Linked DNA regions of Drosophila melanogaster. Changing the gene in region 2 together with the main gene of any one other region gives a genetic interaction. Each region holds a gene or a part of one and is shown on either strand. Other genes may lie near its edges. The genes, in order: Dronc, grim, Dark and pnut.

Region 1 (5,262 bases), 8.3 Mb from region 2:
TTTAAGAGTTATATTATGTACATTATTGAATTGCATTTGATTGTGTGAAGATCGTTTTAGTGCTAGTAACTGCGCCTAAAACAAAAGGGTATTATATTTGTATTCGAATTTGTATGTAATTCTGATCGTATGTACGTTATGTTATCGTAAGTGTACCATCCTAGATCCTCTAATGAATTGAATTGAAATGAAGCCAACTCTGTCTCTTGTGATTCTATTGTGATGCTATGGGAGTCAAGCAGCACTCAACTGTTTTTATGCCTCTTAAAGTTTAAAACAAAGCTAATCGTAGCAAAACCTAAAACTAAACTACCTATCTCTACACTAGTCTATGCAATGCTAATTGGCAGCCCCAACAATTGAAAACAATCATGCACAATAAATGTTATGCAATTGAGAGAATCCAAAGGCCAAAGACCCACAACTTTTTCTTACACTACTCGAAGTAATTGTGTACAACTAAAGGAATTCTAGATTTTAAATGTGCTAAAACTGTTTATAGTCAAGTACTTAATTAAGAGTGTAATTATCAAATATTAATACGTACAAAGGTTGGGGCATTTGGCATAGTAATACTAATAATGTATAAACGTGGGATCCGATGATTTGATTGATGATAATGGAGCGGTGCAAATGCGTGTGACAATGTACGTATGTAACAAACAATTGAATTTAAATGTTTAATAAATGTGTGGAAATGAATAAATGCTCTGTGTGCTAAATTCCTCAATTACTCAATAACAGCCTCTACGTTAGCTTCTCGTCCAGGAATAGTGGATCCAAACTGCACTTTTGCCGCTGTTCCATGTAATCCAAAAACTGGTGGTCAAATAAACGCTGCCCCATGCTGCGTGCCACATCGTCGGATTCGTCGGTGTTTGCCTTCTCTATGAGCAGCTGTTGGCATTAGGATTTCCTTTTTTTTTAACTATTTTGGAAAGTTGATGCAGCCTTCTGCTCACCTCAATTTCCTTGGACAAAAATTCTTTGGTCGCATCGCTCATCTTCTTTTGCGGCTGGCCCATCAAAGCGTTTTCCAGAAACTTGTAGGCCTCACTGAAAGTACCACAATGCTAAATACAAATGTAGTTTATCAAAACCATTCCTACTTCAAGTCAATGCCGTTCAGTTCCGTTGGCGATGGCTTTGTCTCATTTTGGATTATGGAGTTCACAACGACGGCTGCTTCGAATTCGCAGAGTTCAGCGAGTTGCGAACTTTTCATGAGCTCCAGCCACTGGTTAATGTTGTTTAAGCTAACGGAGTCGCAGTTTTTCACCATTTCCTCGCCCTTGCCAATCATGTCGGCCACATACTCTAGAAAAGGGATTGGGGGACAATGTACTTTTATTGCATTATGCATGTTTTAAGAAAACTCACGGAGAATGCCATTCGAATTATTTTGATTTTGCTGCTTGGCTGCTTCGAGCAGGATTTGCTGTGAGTAGCCCAGTCTGTTTAGTTGCCTTTGCAGCTTAACTTTCACCTCTCTCGGAATCCTTGCAGGCTTTTCTGCGCCTTTTTGCGCGGAGTTTTTCGGTTCCGGCGTAAATTGTTGCTCCTCCTCCATTTCTTTTGTTTATGTTTACGGTTTGTTAGGCTGACCCCATATGGTATTTGGTATTTAGTATTAAATTGAATCATTTGATGCGGCAATGAAGGAATGGTGGAATAAGTGGAACATGGAGACGGTTCATGTCATGGATTTATCCCGGACGCGTTCTCTGGTTAAAATGGCGCACCCACAAGCAGCCACACCAATCCCAAAGTTTCATTTATTAGTTTAGTGGCGAGTTTGGCGGCGCGAAACGCTCGTTGGTCCTTTTGTTTCGAAAGAAATCCTATTCGAAGATCCCCGATCCTTGCTAGGATCATCTAGTGCAATATATAGACTAGTTAATTTACTTTTGGAAAAATAAGGACACCAGCAGGGCCGCCGATTTGTGCCCCTTTCTTGAAAGTCGCAAAACAAAAACAACGACGACAACAACAAAGCGGAGACAAAGAATCGACAAGTAGCGATAAACGAAATCATTCCCGGGAAAACCTTGGAGACGGGTGATTCACTGCCAATACCACTGCCAATTGGAGACTGATCACGGCAGCCATCCTTGGCGCGCCCAATAAGCGGAGTCACCGGAACGCGTGGAAGCCATATCCGGAATGCAGCCGCCGGAGCTCGAGATTGGAATGCCGAAGAGGCATCGCGAGCATATACGCAAGAATCTGAATATACTGGTTGAATGGACGAACTACGAGCGTCTGGCCATGGAGTGCGTGCAACAGGGCATCCTAACCGTTCAGATGCTAAGAAATACGCAGGATCTCAATGGCAAGCCATTCAACATGGACGAGAAGGATGTGCGTGTGGAGCAGCATCGTAGGCTCCTATTGAAGATCACCCAGCGTGGTCCCACCGCCTATAACCTGCTGATCAATGCACTGCGCAATATCAATTGTCTGGATGCGGCCGTTCTATTGGAATCCGTCGATGAGTCCGATTCAAGGCCACCCTTTATCTCGCTAAACGAACGGAGAACCAGCCGGAAGTCGGCCGATATTGTGGACACACCCTCACCCGAAGCCTCCGAAGGACCCTGCGTTAGCAAGGTAATGAAAATAAAATCATACGAAAGCTTTGATGGTGAAATTGCAGCTCAGGTCATTGACCCTGATTTCTACAAAAAACCGGTTTATGGCACAATTTATTTGCATTTTTTTTTTTAGGTTTGTTAATTGAGTTATTCCTATTGGAATGAGATTAGAAAAGGTATCTTTAAGAATTGTAAATGGACTCAATGATGAATACTACTTTGGTACATGTGCACAGTATTATTTGCTTCTCTTTCAGAAGTTAGTTCGTGTATGAGATTCTTGTTTTCCATTTTTTTTGGAAGCATGAATCACATCCATTCTACTTACCTATCCCAATTATTCTTTTAGTAGGATTTGTTTTTAACCAGAATCTTATCGCAATATTGCTGGCAGCTGTGTTTATATAGCACGAATGTTGATTACTTCTTTGTCTGCCACATTAACCGTGCAATGAAAATATAATATATATATTGAAAATCTTATCTTTATTGTAATTTGTTCTTTCTTTCTCTCTCCTACCAAAGCTCCGGAATGAGCCGCTGGGAGCACTCACCCCTTATGTGGGTGTCGTTGACGGTCCCGAGGTAAAAAAATCGAAAAAGATACATGGTGGGGATAGTGCCATATTGGGCACATATAAGATGCAATCACGTTTCAACCGAGGCGTTTTGCTAATGGTTAACATAATGGACTATCCGGATCAAAACCGTCGACGGATCGGAGCCGAAAAGGACAGCAAGTCGTTGATACACTTGTTTCAAGAACTGAATTTTACGATTTTCCCCTATGGGAACGTGAATCAGGATCAGTTCTTTAAACTTCTGACAATGGTGACCTCCTCGTCGTATGTGCAGAATACCGAGTGTTTCGTAATGGTACTGATGACACACGGCAACAGTGTGGAGGGAAAAGAGAAGGTGGAGTTTTGCGATGGATCTGTGGTCGATATGCAGAAGATCAAGGACCATTTCCAGACGGCCAAATGTCCTTATTTGGTGAACAAGCCGAAGGTGCTTATGTTTCCCTTTTGCCGCGGCGATGAATATGATTTGGGCCATCCAAAGAATCAAGGCAATCTCATGGAGCCAGTGTATACGGCGCAAGAGGAGAAGTGGCCTGACACCCAGACGGAGGGCATACCCAGCCCGAGCACCAATGTGCCAAGTCTTGCCGACACTCTGGTCTGCTATGCTAATACGCCGGGCTATGTTACCCACCGCGATCTCGACACGGGCAGCTGGTACATCCAGAAGTTTTGCCAAGTGATGGCCGATCATGCCCACGACACAGACCTTGAGGATATCCTAAAGAAGACGAGCGAAGCCGTGGGTAATAAGCGCACCAAGAAGGGTTCCATGCAGACAGGTGCCTATGATAATCTTGGCTTTAATAAGAAACTCTACTTCAATCCCGGGTTTTTCAACGAATAGTTGCCGCCACTGGACATTTTATCATTCCGGATGCATTTTTAACCGCATTTATGTTCTTATCGTCGCATTTAGTATGTCTTTTAGATTATGTGTTCTGTGCTCGCGTGCTATAAAATGTTTATATTGTAACAAATACTCATTCAAGTATTCTTCTAATACGTATTGCATACCTCATTTAAAGGTACGAAATTATGTAATTTATGTGATAACTGCCAGAAATCTACAAATATTATAATACAGAGTTCCAGTATATACACAGCCAGATTTTTGAAATCGAACATTTAGGCAAAATGTAAAGCAATTTTCCAGTCTGATTTTTGAGTGTGTACACTTACAAAATAAACGATGATATTTCACAACAAACCGCAGTTTGTATATAATTAAAATCTATTTACATTTCTAAAATTTCATTGGGACACTAATTATTATATAATATAATCTTAGGATCATACATTTTAACCTAATCATCCTGCTCATCCTCCTCCGCCAAGTGGGACAGTTGTAGTTTTCCCGCTGCACGGCTCTGTTCCGATTTGGTTTTGCATTTCTTTGGCTTATGCGGCTTTTGGCCAATTACATACTCAGGCATCACCAGCTTGGAACCTCTTAACTGCGGCTTATCCAGCTCCACATCATCCACCTCCTGCTGTTTGAGGCTCTTGAGCTTGCGGCTGAGTTTGCTGGTCCTCTTGAACTCGATCTTGCCATCTGTAGGTGGAGATTCGTTATCGACGCCCTCAGCCTCGCGCTGTGCATCCATTTGTCGCAGGAAGGACAAGGCGGCGGCGGAGTTGCTCTGTTCGGAAATGTCCACATCAGACAGGGAGTACTTCTTCCATTTGTGCGGGTTTACCTAGAGAGTAGGTCAAACGTTTAGGGTGGGGACAACTAATTGCAGAGGGATGGTCTGTCACCTGGTAATCTGGCGTTTTTCTTGGCTTCAAACAGCGTCCAATGGGGAGTTCGGGCTTCTTGAAAATGCTCTCCTTGCCGCGCATTCGTCGCAGTCTTCCATCCTCCGCATCGAGGCCAGTAACAATGCTGCGACCCTGGCGGTAGTTCATCACCTGTCCGGATTCGTTTCCGGATTTGTTTCCTCGATCGAGGGCATTGATGGAAAACGCCTTGGCCTTGCTCTGATCCAAGGCAGTTCCCCGCAACTCTTTGCTCGCATCGTCGAGACATGCGAAAAGAGCGTCTCGTTTGGCTGAAAATTCCTGCATTTTACTTAGTTAAA
Region 2 (4,527 bases):
AGATAGGCGGCAAATTAGCGGCCCGAAATGTTTGCATAATTATTATTTGACTGGCGAACTTATCAGGCGCCGCTGATCGCTTGCTGCCACAGATGTTACACTTTTTCCACTTCTGGGGTTAAATGGGTTTCCGGGCTTGCTAAAGGGTACACCCCCTTTGCCCTTTTCCTCTTTTTCCCTTTGACCCCGAGCCCGATGACTTGGACATTGGTGGCACAAACTGGGATCTGCGGTTAAGCGTCACCTTTGCTTTTTAACCCTTTTGGGTGGAGTGTGCCTGGCATGACACGACGGGAAAATTCTCTGTCTGCCCTTAACCAAAAATGTGTTTTCCCTTTTAAGGTGACATATTGGTTTTGACGATAGCGATCGCTAAATGTTTGCTTACTCCGCCTTTTCCTGGCAGGACGGTTATCCTTTGCCATTTCATTGCCCAAAATGGAATACAAAGGCTTAATTCATAAGCGGTTATTAAAAGAGTGTATTAAACAAAATTTCATATTATTTTGACGTATTTTTTTATAAAAACTTTGGTGAAACAAATAAATATTCTTTTGAATTTATTTTAAAAACGTTTTAGTTTATTTTTAAAATATTTTAAAAACGCTTCGAATAATTTTTCAAAAACATTTTAATAGAGTTCTACACCTCCGAAATAAAAGGTAATTAAATATATATATCTCGGCAATGGTGTTGGTAAAATTCTTTATGTTTTTCTGAAAAGGGACAATAATAATCGTTCAAAGTATTTTTTAATTTTTTATAAAATTGTATTTATTTTTTGCTTGTTTGTCTTATAAAAATTTTAATTTCTTACAAATGCTATCTTTACATGTGATTAATTTCAATATTTCTTGTTTAATTTGCAATGCCAAAATTAAAATAATATGTTTTGAATTTTGCTAAAATCAATAATAATGATAAGATACATTTCAAATTTTGTTATTCTTGATTATTCGTATCAAAATTGCTTAAATGTTTGTTGTTGTTTTGTTTAATTTTTGTTAAAATGTATTCTGTTCGGCGGTTCTTGTATTCTATTTTTTGTAGACGTTTTGTATTTTCTCTCTTTGTTGTAAACATATAAAATTTGCTGTTTGCTTAAAATCTATTTTGTACAATTGAGTTGTTGTCTTTTGTTATTCTTGTTGCTGCGGTTGCATCTTTGTTTTGTTGTTGGTTCTGTATTGTAGTTCTGTAATATTAGTTTACGATTTATATTTGTAAGTAGTTGAAATGTAGTTGAAGTAGTTGAAGTAGAAAATTTGACAATTATTTGTTAGTTGAGTACGATACTTGTGGTTTTGCTCATACGTATAGACACTAATAAGGTTTATGACAATTTTACACATTTCTCTTTATGCTCTCTAAATGTTGTTAAGTATGTTTATGTATTTGAACCAACCGGGAAACCTTTGCTTGCAAAATTAAACATTTTTTCAAAACTTATATCGGAAAATTTGACATCCAAAAAAGTAACAAACAACCAAAATCACTTTAAGCAAGTCGATGACAAATTTTGAATTTTCTCTCTCTCAAAAATAGTTTAAAAATAGTTTTCTTATTTTGTTGTGGAAATATCCCATGTTTTACAAAACTCGTTCCTCCTCATGTGTCCATACCCAAAAAAGAAATCACAATGCGCTTTGATTGAGCCTGCCTTTCCCAGAAAATCCCAAAGATTTTCTCTCCACCAGGATGAAATATGGAAACCAAATTTAGTTCTCCTTGGAGGTGGCATCAGTCACGTCGTCCTCATCGTTGTTCTGACCGCCGCTGCTGATCTCGAAGGATATCTGAATGACCGTCGGTTGACGCTGGCTCGAACTGTAGCTGTAGATTCGCAGAGCGTAGCAGAAGATCTGGGCCAAAAGATCCCAGCATCCAAACTCCGACATGGTCATCGATCCCTGTTGACTTCCCAGCGGCACGGAAATATTGGCACGGAATTGTGGGCGCTGTTGCTGATGATGATGTCGCTGCTGCTGCTGCTGTTGTTGCGATTGTTGCTGCTGCTGCGATGGTGCAGCAGCTGTTGCAGTTGTCCTTGGACTCGCTGCTGTCTGCTGGCCGTTTTGCTGATAGCTTCTGGCCAACAATTGGGCCTGGTCGGGTATGAAATAGGCGATGGCCATGGCGGTATTTAATTTAATACAAAATGTGATTTTACAAAACGTATGAATCTTTAAAAAAATATATAACTTTAGTGTAGCATATATTTTTAATGTTTGATTTCAATATCGCTGAGGAATAATATATTCCATTCACTGCTTGCACTTTAAGTCTTGTAAGTCTTTATGTTTCGTATCGAGCACTTGGAAAATTTTTCTGACTCATTTGGCGGGAAAACGAACGAGGAAACTTGTCGCTTTTTGACGAACTTTCAACTGCGCTTTTCGCTTCCGCTTGTTATTCAATGTTCTCTCGTCGAGGTTTCAGAGTGGACTGACTGTAAATATCCTTGCTGCAGTCACATTTATAAAATAGCTCTCTTTGTACTTTCCTATAGGAAGCGAGTTCCTCTCTCGCAGTGAATGTCACCCTCCCAATTTCCACCACCCCCCGGGAGTTTGTGTGTATTGTGTGTGTGCTTTGTTTATGCCAACAACCAACCAATTGAACCACCAACCACAGGAACCCACACCACTGACAATGTGCCACCACCACCGCCAGTTTACCACCCCAAAGACACGGCTGCCTTTGTTACCTTTACTTCGGAACTAGAAAGGGGGTGGGAAAGTGGCTGAGAAGCGGTGAGAGACTCGGGAAATGAGAGCGGAATTGGGGAAAATCATTTCACGTAAGAGTGCTACGTCAAATAAAACGTAAGCTCTTTGGGATTTCGTTGTTCGAAGCGCGGCATCGAATTCATTTCGAATTTCAGGGGTTAACTTGGGCGTACTTGCTCTAGCTGAGTCTAGCAATTTTGAGGGGAAGTTTGGTCGTCGTATGCTCATTTCGAATTTCGAACTTGGATTTCACTACGGATGAATCAACAATTGTTTGTTATGACATTTTGGTTCGCATAGAAACTGATTTTTGGTGATTAAATGCAATTTAATCTTGCTTATTGTACCTATTATTAGTATAATTATTATTTTCAATATTCATTAATGGCAAACAAATTTATACCAGGGACCAACGAGATCTTTTCTTACATTGTATCACTTTGGGTTATTTATAGTATACTTCTTTACATACTTAATATATTTCAAAACAGCGGAGTCTCCTTCACCTAAAATCTCTTGGAACCACTAACCCGCTTTCAAGTTAAGCATCCTTCAACTCAAAAAGCTTGCACGGCAAATCTTTGATGCGAAAACCTTGCGTAATGGTCCTTGAAGATTCCCCCTATTGCAGCCTTAAACTTGACCATAACAAAGGGCACCCAAATGGATTGACCTTCAAGCTAACGCGAATCCAGCTCCCTCAAACATTATGCTGACGACAATTTCAACCTTGGAAAATGTTTGATCCCAGCTCCCCCATTTTCCGTTAGCTGCAGCTCATCCATTATGATAAGCTGTTCCCGGATAGTTGCAAAGTCAAGAAAGCAGTGGCTGTGGTAGAGGGGTATGAAGAAAGTATACTTATGCAAAACTGATTATAAGAAAAATTGAGAATAATTTTTGGGTATAATTTCATGAAAAAATAAATTTTATCAATAATGTAAATTTATTGAATTTGTTTTATATAATTTATTTACAATCATGATGAATTAAAATCTTACATATGGAATAAATCATAATAACGATTTTTTTTAATTAGACAAGTATATTGTATTATCTCCTCCTCTGTCCCAAATGTTCAATAAATGTCATTTAACACTTTAACATTCCAGAAAAGGACTTCCAGGGAGCGGAAAGCATAAAGCCAATTGAGCTTATTTCCTCCCCCTATGTAACATTTTTGCTGAGGGAGCTCCAACAAGGCCATCGCCAAGGCCAAGTCCGCCACTTGTGGGTGATGTTCCACAAGTCTCCTACCGGCAAAAGCTTTTTATTTCTCACCCAACTGGCTTCAAGGTCGTGCCGGCCGGCATTTCCACCCACATTCAGCTTTTCCTCTTCATTTTTGTGCGTGCGACCTTGACAATGAAATTCGTTTAGGGAGCACAGCTCCTCCAAAGAAAGTGTGGGTGAGCTTTTCCTGACACAGTTGACAGCACGTGGTCGTTATATTCTGGCATATATATAAATGTCAAGCTCAAGGTCGCTGGGTATCGATTTGCCGAACTTGGAGGGTCTGTATTACTTACCATAAAAGTTATGGGTTGGGGGTAACTTTGCTTATAAATGGTGTGCGGAAAATGAGGTGAAATATTTTTAAAAACAAAACAAAACAACAAAATTTTCTGTATTGATTGAAGTAATATCATTACTGCGAATTTAACTATTAACATGATTAATATCCCTATTTAGGTTTAAGTACTTAATTTTTCATCATTACCGAGAATTGATAAGCCGAACAGGCTATTTGAATTTTATATAACAAATATTGTGTAATTGTTTTTACTGGACTTAAAAT
Region 3 (8,502 bases), on a different chromosome or scaffold from region 2:
TCATTTCCCACAAATTTAACGCAGGCCAGGAGTTCCGGACGGATGGCATTGCCGCGCTTATTCCGCCACAGTTCCGCAGTCCCTCGGTTCACCGGATGAAACTCGTCGGCAACGAATGTCACATCTACATCGATGTCCGCTGCAATGGGCGCCGCATCCACAGCATCCTCTTGTGTAACACTGTGCTGCTTATGGCGTCGACTGCGCCGCCGTTTTTGCTCGCGCTCCAATTGATTGTTGCGCATGTGCGTCACATTCCAGAAGCACAGCTGCTCCGCGCAGCTGATCAGGAGCAACTTACATGGCGAGAATAGCAATTGCCGGATGCAGTGCTCGTGGACCTCTTCAATGCTGTAGATCAGTTGAACTTTTCTGTTTTCAACGGCAAAGAGCTGTTGGGAAATGTATAATTAGCAGGAAATAATTATGAAACGAATTTGTAAGACGTATGTATACCTCTAAAGTGCCATTTTCGAAACCCATAGCCAACATGGTACCATCATCCGTGGCTACCAAATAGCTGATCTTGGCCTTCTGGGCGATCTCTTCTTCGCAAATCTGTTCGTACCTTAGTTGGTTACAGCTGAATATTAAACGGAATACCTGTCGTTGGAAATAATTGATAATTGTTTAATGATATTATGTTTAGCAAACCCACATCGATGATGTTGTTTTCGTAGGCCAGAAAGAGAAGACTGTTCTTTAGATCAAAGCCGACAATGTATTCCTCCGAATCCTTTGGTTTCACGAATGCAGATGGGTTAGCTATATCCAGATGCTGTTGGTAAATATTGAAATCAAATACTGCACTTTTACTCGCATAAACTTCAATTAAGAACACTCACACAGACTCCGTGGTCGGAAAACAAAATGATATACTGTCCTTCCTGCAAGGACGCGTACTTGGTACTAACATCCATCATCAATGGCCACTGGTCATTGGGTTGCAGCGGATCTATCTTTTCCAGCTGGAATATCACAGTCTTCTGGGCACTGTGTGCCGACGCCACCAGAATGTTGGGACTGACCTGTTTGAGGTAATCAATGGGCTCCTCTATAAACTGCTGAGGTAGCGCTGTATCATGAATAACATCTATTATCACTCCGTCCACATAGCCAACGAAAATCTGTTCGTCGTTAAAGGCGGATATGGCATTTATCTTACAGTTACTGGCAGCATGAGTGGGTGTGATTGTGGACCATTCGGAAATTCTAGAAATGGCCGGTTTAATTAGGTGAATGCGCTCCTTGGAGTCCACAGCCAGAAGTTGCGTCCGCTCTCTGGTCATGTCCATCAGAGAACGCAGATAGACATTAGGCTCCAAGCAAGCCTTTGTCATCACGCTTATCTCATCTGCACTGTGAACCCAGGCGATTTCCCTGTTTTGATGTGAATTCGAGCCGCTTACAGAGCGCAATGTGTGCACATGGACCACCTGTTTTCCCTTAGCGCCGCACAAAACAATGTACTTATAGACAGGATCAAACAGCTCGTATATATCCACACACTCTATATGTTCGCTGACATTGCTGCGTAGCACGGGATCAGAGATTTTCAGATCATACACAATAAGTCCCTCGGACGTGCCCAGCAGTAGGTAACGTCCGTCAGTCGAACGCTTTCCGCAGGTGATGAAACTTCCTTCTGGCAGTTGCACTGCCTCCGATTGCAAACTAACCGAAAGACCTGGCAAAAAATTGAGCCGCCATACGCTGTACTTAAAAATCAGCAACACGGTGGCGGTCTTACTCCTTTCGTCAAATACATCTAAGGCCAACGGCGTGTCGTTTTCGACATTAAAAACATGTAGTTCCAGCGTATTGCTGGAACCGTTGGTCAAATCCCATACAGTAAGTGTGCAATTTGAGGTGCAGACCACGTAATATCGCTTTAAAACCTGAACGAAACACCGTATTCCCGACTGCATCGTTTTCAAAACAGGCACGTGCGACAGTTTGAACTCCTGATCTTGTTCGTCCCAATTCAAAATACTCACATCACCATTGATGAATGCCACATGCAGTTGGATGTTGGCCTCTGGCAATCCGGCGTCTTCATTTAAATAGAAAGCAACAATTTTCAGATTTGCATAGCTCCCTATAAAGCGTTTAACCACGCTATTGACTAGCTGCTGCTTGCTACCACCACTGTGGCGCCTTCCTGGACAATCGGGCCACAGGGACCAAAGTTTTACGCTGCCGTTGCAGTGCAAGGTGATCAAGTGCTTCTGTTGGTTAAATACCGCCATACGCAGAATGTCACTGCTGTCGCTCTCGTCCCTTAGCAAATAGGTGTCCTCTCCCTCCAGCGAAACATCGGTTAGCAGGATCTGCCCGCTGGCCAGCGCTATCAAGCAAAAGTCGTTGTGAAGGTAGACAGCATGGCGCCCCTCATTATCACCCAGGTTTATAATCTGACGGTGCTGGTGGAAACGACCGCTGATAAAAGGAAAAAGTGAAATAATAATAATAAAGTAACTTTAATATATATACATTTCATTATTACTAAAAATGACAGCTCTGTTTGTTTGATTAGTCAATAGCTGGTAAGTACTTACTGGTTAGTAAACCAAACCCGATCGTCAAAGCGCTGCACTTGTTTATGGGCTTCTTCAAAAATCGCCTCATCCTCGGCCATCAGGGCAATCCTAAGCAGGTCCGTATACTTTGAACAAATAAGATTTTCCTCAATCTTTGGCAAAAAATCCAGAATAGCGTTGACTAAGCGCTCATACTTTGGGTCATTGTCTGCATGAAAAAAAGATTACATTTTTTTTTTGTTTCAAATGATTCAGAAATTTACGTACCGCAAATATATGGCTTGTAGAACTTCAGCTGCTGTAGCGTGTTCAAGATCGATCCACTGGCATTCCAAGCAGTTGAATCGTGCCGAATCTTTTGTTCTAGAAAACGGAAATCTAAAAAGACCATGCGAAAGAGAGTCATCCGTTCGGGGTGCTCAATGTTTTTTAGATGATGACCGATGTGGCTATAGAAGTATTGGTCCAGGTAAGGCGGTATCAAGTCGTCGGAATCGAATGTTTTTGGGATACTAACAAAAAGGTTAAAATCACTCAGTATACGGCTTACTCGTGGCTTAAGGTTAATACATTTTAGCAAAAATTCAAGATATCAAGAAAAGGGCTAGGAACATACTTATAGTGATCTACGATACTCCGATGAAGTGCATATTCGTTTTCAAGCTTGACTTTCAACTCCAAGTATATGCTGGGTATACTTATGGTTGACTCTTTTGGTTGCTTCTCCACCAATGAATATTTATGAAGTTTGTTAACCACTACCATTACATCGGATTTGATAACATCAAACCATATCAACGATAGGAGCTGTTCAACAGGAAGTTGATAACGATTAGTAGATGTATGCCGTAAAGTGCAGTGCTCACTTACAATAGTGGGTATGTGGGCTGATGGAGGGAAAACTGACAGTCTATCAAACATTTTTCTATATTCAGCGGGCTCCAGAACGTTTAGAGAGCTCTCAATGATGGTCGTCAGCTTATCACAGTTTACACTACAAAAAAAAATTATGTATTTATTCAGTGTGAACACTCATAATCCACATACTGTTTCCAGTTGTCCCAGGTCGCCAGACCATCCCGAATGCTCTCAGCAATAATGCTTAGTCTGCGGGGATTCGTTGTCAAAACTTCCCGGGGCAAATCCTGTGGTCGACAGTCGAGGTACTTTAGAAGCAAAGACTTAACCTCATCCGGCGTAAGCGTCATCGAATGATGATCCAATGAAATATGAGTTGTGGTAGCTGCCGAAAGAAAGTCAGTGACCTGCTTGAACCGTGTGGTTAGCAATATCTTGCAGCTCAAGTTGAAAGCATTCCAAGCCTTGGCATTTTGCACATTAAGCAGAACAAGGAGACAATTCTCGTATGGCTTGCTCTTGAGCAGTCGTCGCAGTTCCGCCTGAATGCTGTGGATTCGAAGCTTTATGTTACTGCTATGATCGCTACGACTTGTCCAGTTGGGATCGATCTGGTAAAGTAATTTCTGCAGCATCTCTAGCACGGTCTCCGGGCTATTGCAGTTCTTCAAGTTAAGCCAGAAGATCTTAAAGTCCATCTTGCATTGCACTTTGTACGATAGGCACACATCCAAGGCTACCCAAGTCTTTCCCGATCCCAAGACGCCATCAATCAATACATTTTTCGCTGGGCGAAGTTCTAGAAGAGCCTGCCTTAGCTTCAGATACTGAAATATAAAAAGTATTGTAGTATGGTTAGATAACAATTCCACAGAGTAAAATTGTTTTTCGGTTTCGTACGTTGGACTTCTTTGATTGTTTTTTTTTTCGAATGGGAGATTATCATACCGGTTGCAGGCGGCTCACATTGTACTTGGCGAATACTTGGTTGTCGTTGTACAGACGATCTCTCTGCTCGATGTACATCCTGGTCATCATGCTGGGCTGCCGTTGCTCAGTCTTGATTGGCGACATTAAGAATTTGTAGTTGATCCTGAGAACTTCCTCCACAAATTTCTGGACCATTTCCTCCTGTTTAGAGAGCAGTGTCCAAAACAAGCGAAGTGTGCCGCTGACTGCATCCTTAGACATGATGATGTGGTCAATTTCCTCCTTGGACAATATTGATTTCGGCATATCCTGGACATCCTTGCAGTCGAAGTTGTCGACGAATGCATCCTCAAACACGGACAAAATGTCCTTGTATTGGTATTGGTGCTCCCCAGTTTCAAAATCCATATTCGTGTTACCTACATATGTAAATATTTATATAGTAACTAAATTTTATAGCTATGTTAGAAATAATTTATTGGCATTGGGTTATTTTTTGTGGTATTTTCATTAATTACAAAAGAAAATGTTATAGTCGAGTTTTCCGGCTATTAGATACCCGTTACTCTGCTGGAAATTTTTATCTCATAGAAATTCGAAAACAAAATAAATAGAAATAAAAATTAAAACGGTTCAAAAGTGTGGCCGTGACAGTTTTGAGCAGTTTGTGGGCGTTAGGGTAGGCGTGGCAACATGGGTGAATAAACTTGGGCTGCGTCTGTATCTCTAGAATCTGTATTCTTAATATCAACCTTCTAGCTTTTATTGTTCCTAAGCTCTCCACGTTCACACTAACGCAACCAGATCGAGTGTTCTAATAATAAAGCTGAATCAAATCCGAATCCCTGTCTTCTCCTTGGTCGGGCAATCACACAAATCATAAATTTGGTTGGACCAACCAATAAAAACTCAGGTGCAACTCTTAGCGAACAGAATCAAGAAAATCGAAAAAAACAAATCAAAACAAAAAAATGTTCATTTCAAATGCACATATGTATGCATGTATATGTGTACATACATATGGCGGAATTTTTGGCGCCAAGCTTGGCCCACTTTATTTGAATGCACCGTAGACGGCTTCTCGAGGAGAGAAATGCGATACCATGGATCTATGAGATCCCTTATCTGCAAGCTGAGATCGACTGGATCATCGGTAATTTCACAACTAATCGACAAGGACGCGAACGAGATCGCCTCTAAATAGCTAGGAATACGTGAGCTGGCGGTGCAACCATCGAAAAAGGCAATTCCGGTTGCATTTTTGTTCTCCTCCGCTCGTCAATGTCGTAGAACCAAAATCGGATCGAATTATTAATCACCAGTTAGATAAGCGCGTAAAGGCAGAGAGAAGATACGTCACTGAGTTTGCCGTGTGAATGAACTTGTTATGTTTGTGTGTAAGTGCTCTCGCATGCAATTGTTTCAGTCACACACACAGTGCCTTGGATTTGTGATTGACGGGGAGGCACAAGGCCCAATGGAAGAATTAAACAAATGGACTTGTAGAGCACAGAAAACGAAAGCACTACAGGTACATAAGCTTTCACCTGCACGCATATTTACTTACGCTCGCCGTTTATTTTTAACAAATCGTCGTCCTTATTCGTATTTTGTTGTATGTGTAAGTATTGCACTTTATCCTTAATATATAGTTGCTCCGGCTTGTTCACATTGTTCTAGCACATTCTAAGCGAAACACTAAAGGCTTGAAAAAATATAAATAATGTACTAATCTATGCTACTCATTGAGTAGTACTCAAAAAATAACAAAACGGAATTTATTCGACTGTGTGACCGTTTTACGCGAGGGAAATAATATCGAATTATATATAGGGTTGTCAAGTGGTTCAAAAATGATTTTAATCGTAATCTGAATTGTAATTCGATATTATATTGCGTGATTTAAGATATTGAGAATTTGTATATTCTTAATAAGAAATACAATTTACATTACGATTAAATTAATTTTTGAACCGACAACAAATAATATATAATAATAAATTCTTATTTATATATTAAGAATTTCTTATTATATTTTAATATATATTATTTGTTATTAGTTATTAATTTGTTATATATATGCCACCTTATATATATATGCCAAATATATATCTCTTTTCCAACTAGATCTAAGATTATAATAATACCATGATTTTCTTGTACGAAATGAAGTAGTTTATCTAATGCTTATTTTCTAAAAAACGGTTTAGCACTTATTACTTTATTTAAAGTGTGACCATATTGAGCCGTATCGATATATCACAGACAACAAAGGTATTCACTGCCAGGTAAGTTTTCACTAGCCACTTGCGACCACACCGACGGTGAAAAGGCGAAATAATAAATTTTAACAAATTGCCGCAGTGTAAATTAAAGGTGCGTAGCATTTTACATTCCCTTTCAGCGGTCACCGGCCGTCCCGCCCCCGCACCGTCCAATTTAACATTTTTTACGGCCAGTAAAACGTGCAATCCCACCCAAAATCAGACACGAAATTCGGAGCAGCGCATCAGAGACGCAGACGAGAAAGTGACGACGCAGCAAAACGAAGCAACAAAAACGAAAATCGGCGACGTACACATTCAACTTGAACAAATTTAAGGTAGGCATTGCAATTTCCCCACCACCACACGGTAGAGTCGGATAGGTCGTGTCCATTTCAATGGGAAACACCGACTGACCCGGCTGCGGAAAATAAAGAGATAAAAAAAGAAAGGCGACAAACCAGTGGTAGGAAAACAAAATGTCCGCAACTCTGTCTGAATCGGCGTCCCGAGGCTTGCAAACGTAACCACGCTGGGGAATGCCCTGGCGAATGTGATTTGTCTTTATTTAGATAAACTAATCCTCATCCATTACTTTACTCTGATTGGTGATTTGCAGTTTTCGAGTCCAACGCAATGTCATGCCGCGCCCCCTTCCAGCCCGACGATCAGTATGAGCAGCTGCGCCGGCCGAATGTCGGCGGAGCAGGCGGAGTGGCCATGCCGGGACTGGATCAGCAGGCGCATCTCTTTGGGGAGTACGCCGGAGCGCAGGCGTACGGTCAGGTGGTTGGCAATTTTCCTGTGCAGGCCATGCAACCCCAGGCGCAGACTCTGTCCGATGCGTCCAATCTGTCGGCCACGGCCACAATTTTCATCCCTCGAGGAGCTGCTCCCCCGCAGCAGCAGTCGCGACATCAGCAATACCAGCAGGCTGGTGGAGCCGGTGGAGGAGCTCCTTATGGCCAACAGCAGCCGCGCTATGTGAATGGTTTTAAGCATCACCATCAGCAGCACCACCAGCAGCCGCACTACAACCATCATCACAATCATCAGCAGAAGTTCAACAACGATATGCAGAAGCTAACGAATTCCGTGCAGAATCGCCTGCACCTGAATAGCCAGCAGGGCTCAGCCGGCAACTACTATCAGCAGCAGCAGGTACACCAAAACACACACCACCACCAACAACACCAGCAGCAGCATCAGCCACACAACCAACACGCCAAGTTTCAACGGCACTTCCACTTGAATAACTCATTCCAACAAATCGTACAGCAAACACAGCACAACCAGCCGCAGCAGCCGCACCACCAGCAGCACAACCAACAGCAGCAGCAGTATATTCAGAACCAGAATCAACAACCGCAGCCATCCACTTCGACTGCGGCGGCCTCCTCGTCGTCCTCGAACTCTTCGCAGCCGGACATGGCCACCATAGCACTGGAGTATCTTGATACAGTCATACATTGCCTTAACCAGGTGAGAATTTCGATTGATAAGCTATCAGGGCAATTATGGGCTTCCTTTGATTTATATTTTTAGTGTTTTATGATTATTTAATCAATTTTAATAGGTGTCAGCTTAATATTTTCTTTAAATATAACAATATATTTAAAATCAATATATTTATGCTCGAAAGTAAAAAAAAAAATCAGCTGAAACATTTCAGTCTAGTCAAACTTAATCTTAAGTTTTAAACCTAAATTTCCTACTAACCAGACATATTAATGATCTCCATCCAGAATCCGGGCCAATTTGATTCGATTGCATCACGCTTCCTGACCATTTTCGATGGCATGGAGAACAACCAATTCGTGCTCTCCATCGCCATGGAGGACATCTTCGAGAAGTCGATCGAGCAGCCGAACTTCCGGTACATGGGCGCCAAGCTGTACAACCTGCTGCAC
Region 4 (5,911 bases), on a different chromosome or scaffold from region 2:
CAAGTCAGCTTATCTTATCTGATATTATCTTGATTTTTGCAAAATAAAGCTCATTGCTACCAACTGCGATGAATATCTATTATTCTGACCTAAATTGTGGCCGCATAAGGCGAAAGATTGTATATGTACATGTACTGACTTATAGGGAGTGTCAGGCTTTTCGTAATTGCTTGAGTCGCACATATGGGCAAGAACTGCATAAAGGGTATTTCTTAGGAAACGAAAAGCATGATACTTTTAGGTGGCACCAACGGTTCGCGTTAGTTTTCACTGGTCCAATAAGCATCACACATACATACATACATACATAGCAGTGTGAGAGGTAAACACTTTTAATTGTTTGCGGCGAGTGATTTACCTATCCGCTTGACTCGAGCCACGTTCCCAGTCAATGCTCCTGCGGAATGACTCATCCATTAGCTCATGGTTAACTAAGATATTGAGAATGTAATCGTCATATCCAAATCGCCATATCCATCGTCATGCCTATCATACCCAGACGTGTGCCAAGCGGACCCGTTCCGCTGCAGTTGAGTAAACAACGAATTTAATATGGAATGCTTTTCAGCTTTTATGTAGTTAAACTAAGGAGAAGACTTTATTTTATAAAATGCAAGAGTATATTTTGTTTCTTGATGTTTTCTGCTGCGCTTGCGGCTTTTGCCTTGCTGGTGTGTGTTCGGGTGTTCAATGACTTTATGCATAATAGGTAAAATACAATTACAATATCAATAGCATACGTTATACATGGATTCGTTATTCGTTATAATTAATTTTAGGATCAATTTCGCCTCGCACTCGTACATTCTGCTTAGTTTTTATTATGATTAGGCTTTAAGATACTTAAGTATTTTGCAAATACCGTTTGTTACTGTCTCGATTTAATTCGTTTGCGTGTTCAATTCATTAGGCTAGCAAATGTGTTTCGTCAAGTAATGCGTGGATATATATTGGTAAAATACTGCAACTGCTATGTGTTATATGTACTTGTATAGTATGTAGAAAACAAATGCAACGCCGTCGCTGGACGATTGCTGTGCGAATAGAAGCCTTGTGGGGCGGCTGGGCCCAACAATAGATATATTTATGCACTTTTCGAATTACTTTATGTGGTAGGAATAAGAGTAGGATACGCTAGGGTTTTCATTTGCTTTGTTCTCGAGATTAGCGCTTAAGTATACGAGGAGCGGAAGGGGGTTTGGGGAATGGGGGTTTTGAGCGTGTTGACTTAGAACAGACCCTTCTTTTTCTTCTCCTTCTTGCCATCCACATTGTCCGTGCTGCTGTTGGCCCCCAGGCTGCGTCGCTTGAGCTCCTCGAGCGTCACGTGGTTGACATCCTCCCACTCCTTCTTCTCGCGCTCGAACTCGCGTCTCTTCTCCTCCAGCTCCCGGATCTGCAGCTCCAGCGCCTTCTTGCGCTCCTCGTGGCGCCGCGCCAGCTCCAGCTCCGAGTCCCTGAGCTTCTGCATCTTCTCCTTGACCTTCATGTCAAACACCTGCTCCATCTCGGCCTCCATCTTCTTCATCTTCTGCTCGTGCTCCCGCTTTTCCTCCTCCATCTGGGTGAGTGGGTTCTTGTTGGACAGCCTGGCCTTGCCGTCCACCAATCCCAGCTCGGATAGCTTCCGGCAGCGGTAGTTCTCGTAGTGGACGTTGTTCGTCACGTCCTTGAGGTCCTGAAGGTGCGTGCGTATGACCATGTTGCGCAGCGCTATAAAGTCGCAATGCGTCAGGTTCTCCACCTCCACCAGGCCCCAGGGATAACGCCTACCCCGGACCTTCTTTCCGTCCTGCTCGATGATGGTGTTGGCACCCACCACCGCGAATGGCACTCGGCTGCGCAAATTCTGCGTGGTTTTGGCCTCCTCGGCCGCATCCTCCAGCGTGGCGGGGAAGTCGTAGATCTTGATCTTGTGCTGGGCGATCTCGTTAAGGATCTGCTTCTTAAATAGATGCACCTCGTCGGGCGTCATGGTGTCCGCCTTGGCGATCACCGGCACCAGATTTACCTTGTCCGACAGGCTCTGCATGCAGGCAATGTCCAGCGGCAGGAGTCCGTGTCCCGATGGCGCTATGAAGTAGAGGCAGCAGTGCACCCGGCTGTCCGAAATGGTTTTTCGGTACACCCGCGACTCGGCTGTCAGGTACTCCTCGTACTTGCTATCCACGTACTCCAGTATGGGCACCCAGCAGTTGCTGTTGTCAACGGCATCACCGAATCCGGGTGTGTCCACCACCGTGAGTGTCAGATTGACGCCGTTCTCCTTGAGCATTACTTTGGTGGCCTCCACGGCCACGGTCTTCTTTTTGCGCAGCGAGGGGCCCGGATACTGTTCCGCGTTGTAGATGTCCGACAGGAACATGGAGTTGATCAGCGTCGACTTGCCCAGCCCACTGGCGCCCACCACCATCAGAGTGAACTCGAATCCCCGCTTGACGGCCTTGCGATAGACCTGATTGGGCAGGTTGGCGAAGCCCACATAGCCGGCGATCTCCATGGGCTTCTGGCGCACCGGGAGCGGTGGCTTCTGTGGCTTCTGCGCCTGCTGGTGCTCCTTCTCCTGCAGATCGTGGGTCAGTTTGTTCGAGTCGCCGTTGGAGGCGCCTCCGCCGCTGGTGTCCAGCTTGCCACTGGCGGCCACTGGCACACTGGGCGGCTGATTGGGCGGTCGTCCACCGACGCCCACCAAGGACTCGCTGCCGCTGCTGCCGTTCGTGGCAGAGGACGCCGATGCCGACGCAGCCTGCTGCTTGTCGCGCAGAGCCAGTTGGGCCAGAGTGCTGGGCAGAGCGGAGATGGCGCCGCCGCTGCCGCCATTAACCGCGTTCGAGCGAGGACTATTCATTGGAATAGCGCCAAATTCGCCTTTGAGCCTTCGATATTCGTTCGCAGGTGGGCTTCACTGTATTTATTCACTTTGCTTGCACAGAACCGTTGCTTTTTCACCGCTTTTGTCACGCCTACGCCAGCTCTTTTACGCTCTTACTTTTCTTGCATTTTCTGTGTCAGTAGGACCGTGCGCTGCAACGCGATAAATACTTCTGCTCCGCTCTCGCAGGCAACAACAACGCCCCAGCTCAGGCGCAGTGTGACCCTGGAAAATACCGGACGAGAGCCGCGAATATACCAAACGACGCTTGGAGTGAGAGCGCATGAGTAATGCGACACATACACACAGAGATACACGCACCCATACTGCCGCAGCAATGCACATGCAAACGGGCAAAGAGAACTATTTTCTGGTGGCCTTATCACTTGAAATGGAATGTTATGTTTAAAAATAGGCAATGAAACGCATTCATGTGTCCCAGCACTTGGGATTCCAGATTTCTGGCCTGAATGACTGCACTGGAGTGGCCACGGATCGCATTACAATCGCCCGCTGATGCACAGGAAGAAATTATCCGTCTAGATGACTTTGACTTTTGCCTTAAGCAGGGGTGGATTACTGAGGGGTTTTTTGACTACATATCGAACTATATTTATTTTAAAACATTTTCAGTTTATGTTTGTCCATTTTTATAGGGAATTAATTTCTATGGTACACCATAACGGGTTTTTAAATAAAATTGTTCACTACGCCCATGACTTTTGTGGTTACGGGTTCCCTTTAATTTTTGTTGCAATGTTGCGCATGCCCGTGAGAGCAGCAGAAGGAGCAGAGAAAGAAGAAGAGGAAGCTGAGCTTATCTCTCTCGCTGAGAACTAAAGATGCTTCTGTCGCGTGGGTGTTGTTATTGTGACGCTGAGAACTCGACTTTCGCTTCTCTCTCACACTTGCTATAATTCCATTCGACTCTGTTTGGAAAGAGGTTAGTGAGCTAACTAACGCCCCTTGTGGGCGTGTGAGAAGTGCCATAAAAAGGAGCTGGATAATAACTGGCCTCTGTCGTTTGACCCGCTTCATGCTCGAGTGTCCTCGTCGAAAGTTCCCACACACGCCTCGTCCTGGCACCCTCTCTACCCCACCCTCTACGCGTCATCGCATGCCGATGCATACACGCACACGGACAAAGCCCGTTGATTGTGCGCTCTGCGTTTCGGTTTGTTTGTAATTTAAATTCTCATGCACTTCTGGCGATCGTCACTGGTAGAGGGGGAGGGGGAGAGGGAGGTACTAACCACCACCATTAAGAGGGTCCTGCGTCCTACTCCGCCTGCTTGGTGGTGGTGGTTTCCTTCCTTCCTACCATCCAGCCTTCCTTGCTTCCGAACTTCCCCCTTTTGCACGTGGATTTCCACCAAACGCCGTCTGCGCGACAACAAGGTGATCGTGAGAAAGTTTTTTTCTCACATTATTCCAAAGCGACTCCTGTTTTAATTTTAGCCTCTATCGGAATTAATATGCATTTATGAATTGATATGACTCGCGGTGGCTCGATTTTTACCCTAGGGGATGACTGTACTTATTGGAGGATTTACAGTTGTTGTCGTCAAGGGAAAAGGTAAATCGAGGGAAGTTCTGTGGAATTTTGTGGCTAGAGATCCCCTTGTTTCTTGTTATTCTTACTAATTTGATTGTCGATTGCATTTTATGATCTCAATACATATTTTTTGTTCTAAAAAGTTATTTAATGAATTCTTTTTCATTCTTTATCAAACTTTATTTTAAGCTTTATTAATACATTTAACATTTATGACCATCCGAAACCATTTGATTAACCCAAAATATAAGGAGAAAGTCGATTTTATTCATTAAGTCTATTTATATGTATATTTACTTTAGCTTCCTTAAACTAATTTTATATTGCTTTTTTGGGTGCATCTTTAACGATTAAAAACATACGCGTATGTACTTTCGTACTTTTTTATAGCACTACTTTTTTATAGCACTAAAAAGTTGATTTTCTATTATCGTATTCATCAATGCTAAATACATTTCATTTTTGGCTGGGGGCTTCGAAACTAGATGTTTTTTACGACAGATGTTAGGTCTTGAAATGTGCCACCGCAACTGCAACCGCAAATCTTTACAGCGAACAAATCCCACCTAATCTCCCCGCAACCCTTCCTCGTGTTCATAGTTTTGAGATCTTGAGCAGCTGTTTCGCATCAGGCACACTCCATACGAAATCCATTCGGAGACGCATCTTCTTCAATATTATGTAAGATGCTTGCCAGCAATTAGGGCCCGCTAGAAGCCAGAGGAAAACCCGTGCGCCCCTGAAAAGTCACTATTTCTTAGCGCCGACCATTGTCCGGGCCAAGTCCATTGTTCTCGTGGCTCGAAGAAGTGGCGGGGGATGCAGCCGGGAGAATGGAGTCGGCAGCTGTGCCAATTCTTGGCACGAGAGCAAGGACAGTTTAGTGCAAATGTTGGCTTAGGAGCAGCTGATCCACCAAGTGACCGTTACATCAGCTGGCATGGGTCACCAATCAATGGAATCAATGATATGGATTCGACCCAGCCCATCATGTGTGCTAGTTATTTAGGGTACGCCCAATAAATGTGAAAGTGTTCCTGAAGTCCAATAGCATATGGAATAGATATCAGCTTAAAACGTTCCATTAGATTTAAAAAAAACTTCTGACAATAACATGAAAATTGTAATTGAAGCTCTAAAAAGAAATATCAGCTCCCTATACCCAATAACATTCCAATATGTCTGGCTTTTCCGTTTGTCAACAAACCTTAATTTTCTCATAAGGACAAAAGTTTTAAATATTTAAGTTAGATTGTGCACCCAAATATATATAGCTAAAGGCGATAAAAAAAGCCAAATGTGTGACGAATCCCCTCAGCATATAAATTATTGCATCTTTTGTTTTTTTTGGGTGAAAACACTTTTCCCCCTTTTTGGAGTCTGTCAGAAAGAACTTTCCAGTTATTAGCCCGACTCCTGGCTGGCCATTTATCAAATTCATAAAAATGAAATCTCCCACAGCAGGAAGAAAAACAATCAAATAG

Evidence for each region.
Region 1: of grim (region 2) and Dronc, changing one suppresses a phenotype caused by changing the other (phenotypic suppression), as found in Drosophila melanogaster (4 studies listed by BioGRID).
Region 3: of grim (region 2) and Dark, changing one suppresses a phenotype caused by changing the other (phenotypic suppression), as found in Drosophila melanogaster (2 studies listed by BioGRID).
Region 4: of grim (region 2) and pnut, changing one suppresses a phenotype caused by changing the other (phenotypic suppression), as found in Drosophila melanogaster (one study listed by BioGRID).

What each region holds. Positions count from the first base shown.
Region 1 is NT_037436.4:9,966,725-9,971,986, forward strand, and holds Dronc (death regulator Nedd2-like caspase), read left to right. Parts: upstream 1-1,754; 5' UTR 1,755-2,163; coding exon 2,164-2,610; intron 2,611-3,119; coding exon 3,120-4,025; 3' UTR 4,026-4,278; downstream 4,279-5,262. Other genes in the region: CG6685 (uncharacterized protein), read right to left, coding at 748-897, 963-1,056, 1,110-1,317, 1,381-1,570; CG6674 (uncharacterized protein), read right to left, coding at 4,486-4,878, 4,940-5,248. UniProt on the Drosophila melanogaster protein: Involved in the activation cascade of caspases responsible for apoptosis execution. Effector of steroid-mediated apoptosis during insect metamorphosis. Overexpression promotes programmed cell death.
Region 2 is NT_037436.4:18,301,965-18,306,491, forward strand, and holds grim (grim), read right to left. Parts: upstream 2,454-4,527; 5' UTR 2,136-2,453; coding exon 1,719-2,135; 3' UTR 755-1,718; downstream 1-754. UniProt on the Drosophila melanogaster protein: Activator of apoptosis, independent of rpr and hid, that acts on the effector Dredd.
Region 3 is NT_033778.4:17,017,635-17,026,136, reverse strand, and holds the start of Dark (Death-associated APAF1-related killer), read right to left. Parts: upstream 6,111-8,502; 5' UTR 5,896-6,110; intron 4,748-5,895; 5' UTR 4,737-4,747; coding exon 4,347-4,736; intron 4,226-4,346; coding exon 3,588-4,225; intron 3,535-3,587; coding exon 3,411-3,534; intron 3,348-3,410; coding exon 3,157-3,347; intron 3,053-3,156; coding exon 2,808-3,052; coding exon of another isoform or gene 2,800-2,807; exon of another isoform or gene 2,749-2,799; coding exon 2,559-2,748; intron 2,486-2,558; exon of another isoform or gene 2,440-2,485; coding exon 846-2,439; intron 785-845; exon of another isoform or gene 779-784; coding exon 659-778; exon of another isoform or gene 604-658; coding exon 457-603; exon of another isoform or gene 393-456; coding exon 1-392. Other genes in the region: Paip1 (Poly(A) binding protein interacting protein 1), read left to right, coding at 7,229-8,074, 8,338-8,502.
Region 4 is NT_033778.4:8,234,994-8,240,904, reverse strand, and holds pnut (peanut), read right to left. Parts: upstream 3,635-5,911; 5' UTR 2,849-3,634; coding exon 1,229-2,848; 3' UTR 608-1,228; downstream 1-607. UniProt on the Drosophila melanogaster protein: Involved in cytokinesis and possibly cellularization. Also acts as an enhancer of the sina gene, thus having a role in photoreceptor development. May be involved in p53-dependent apoptosis.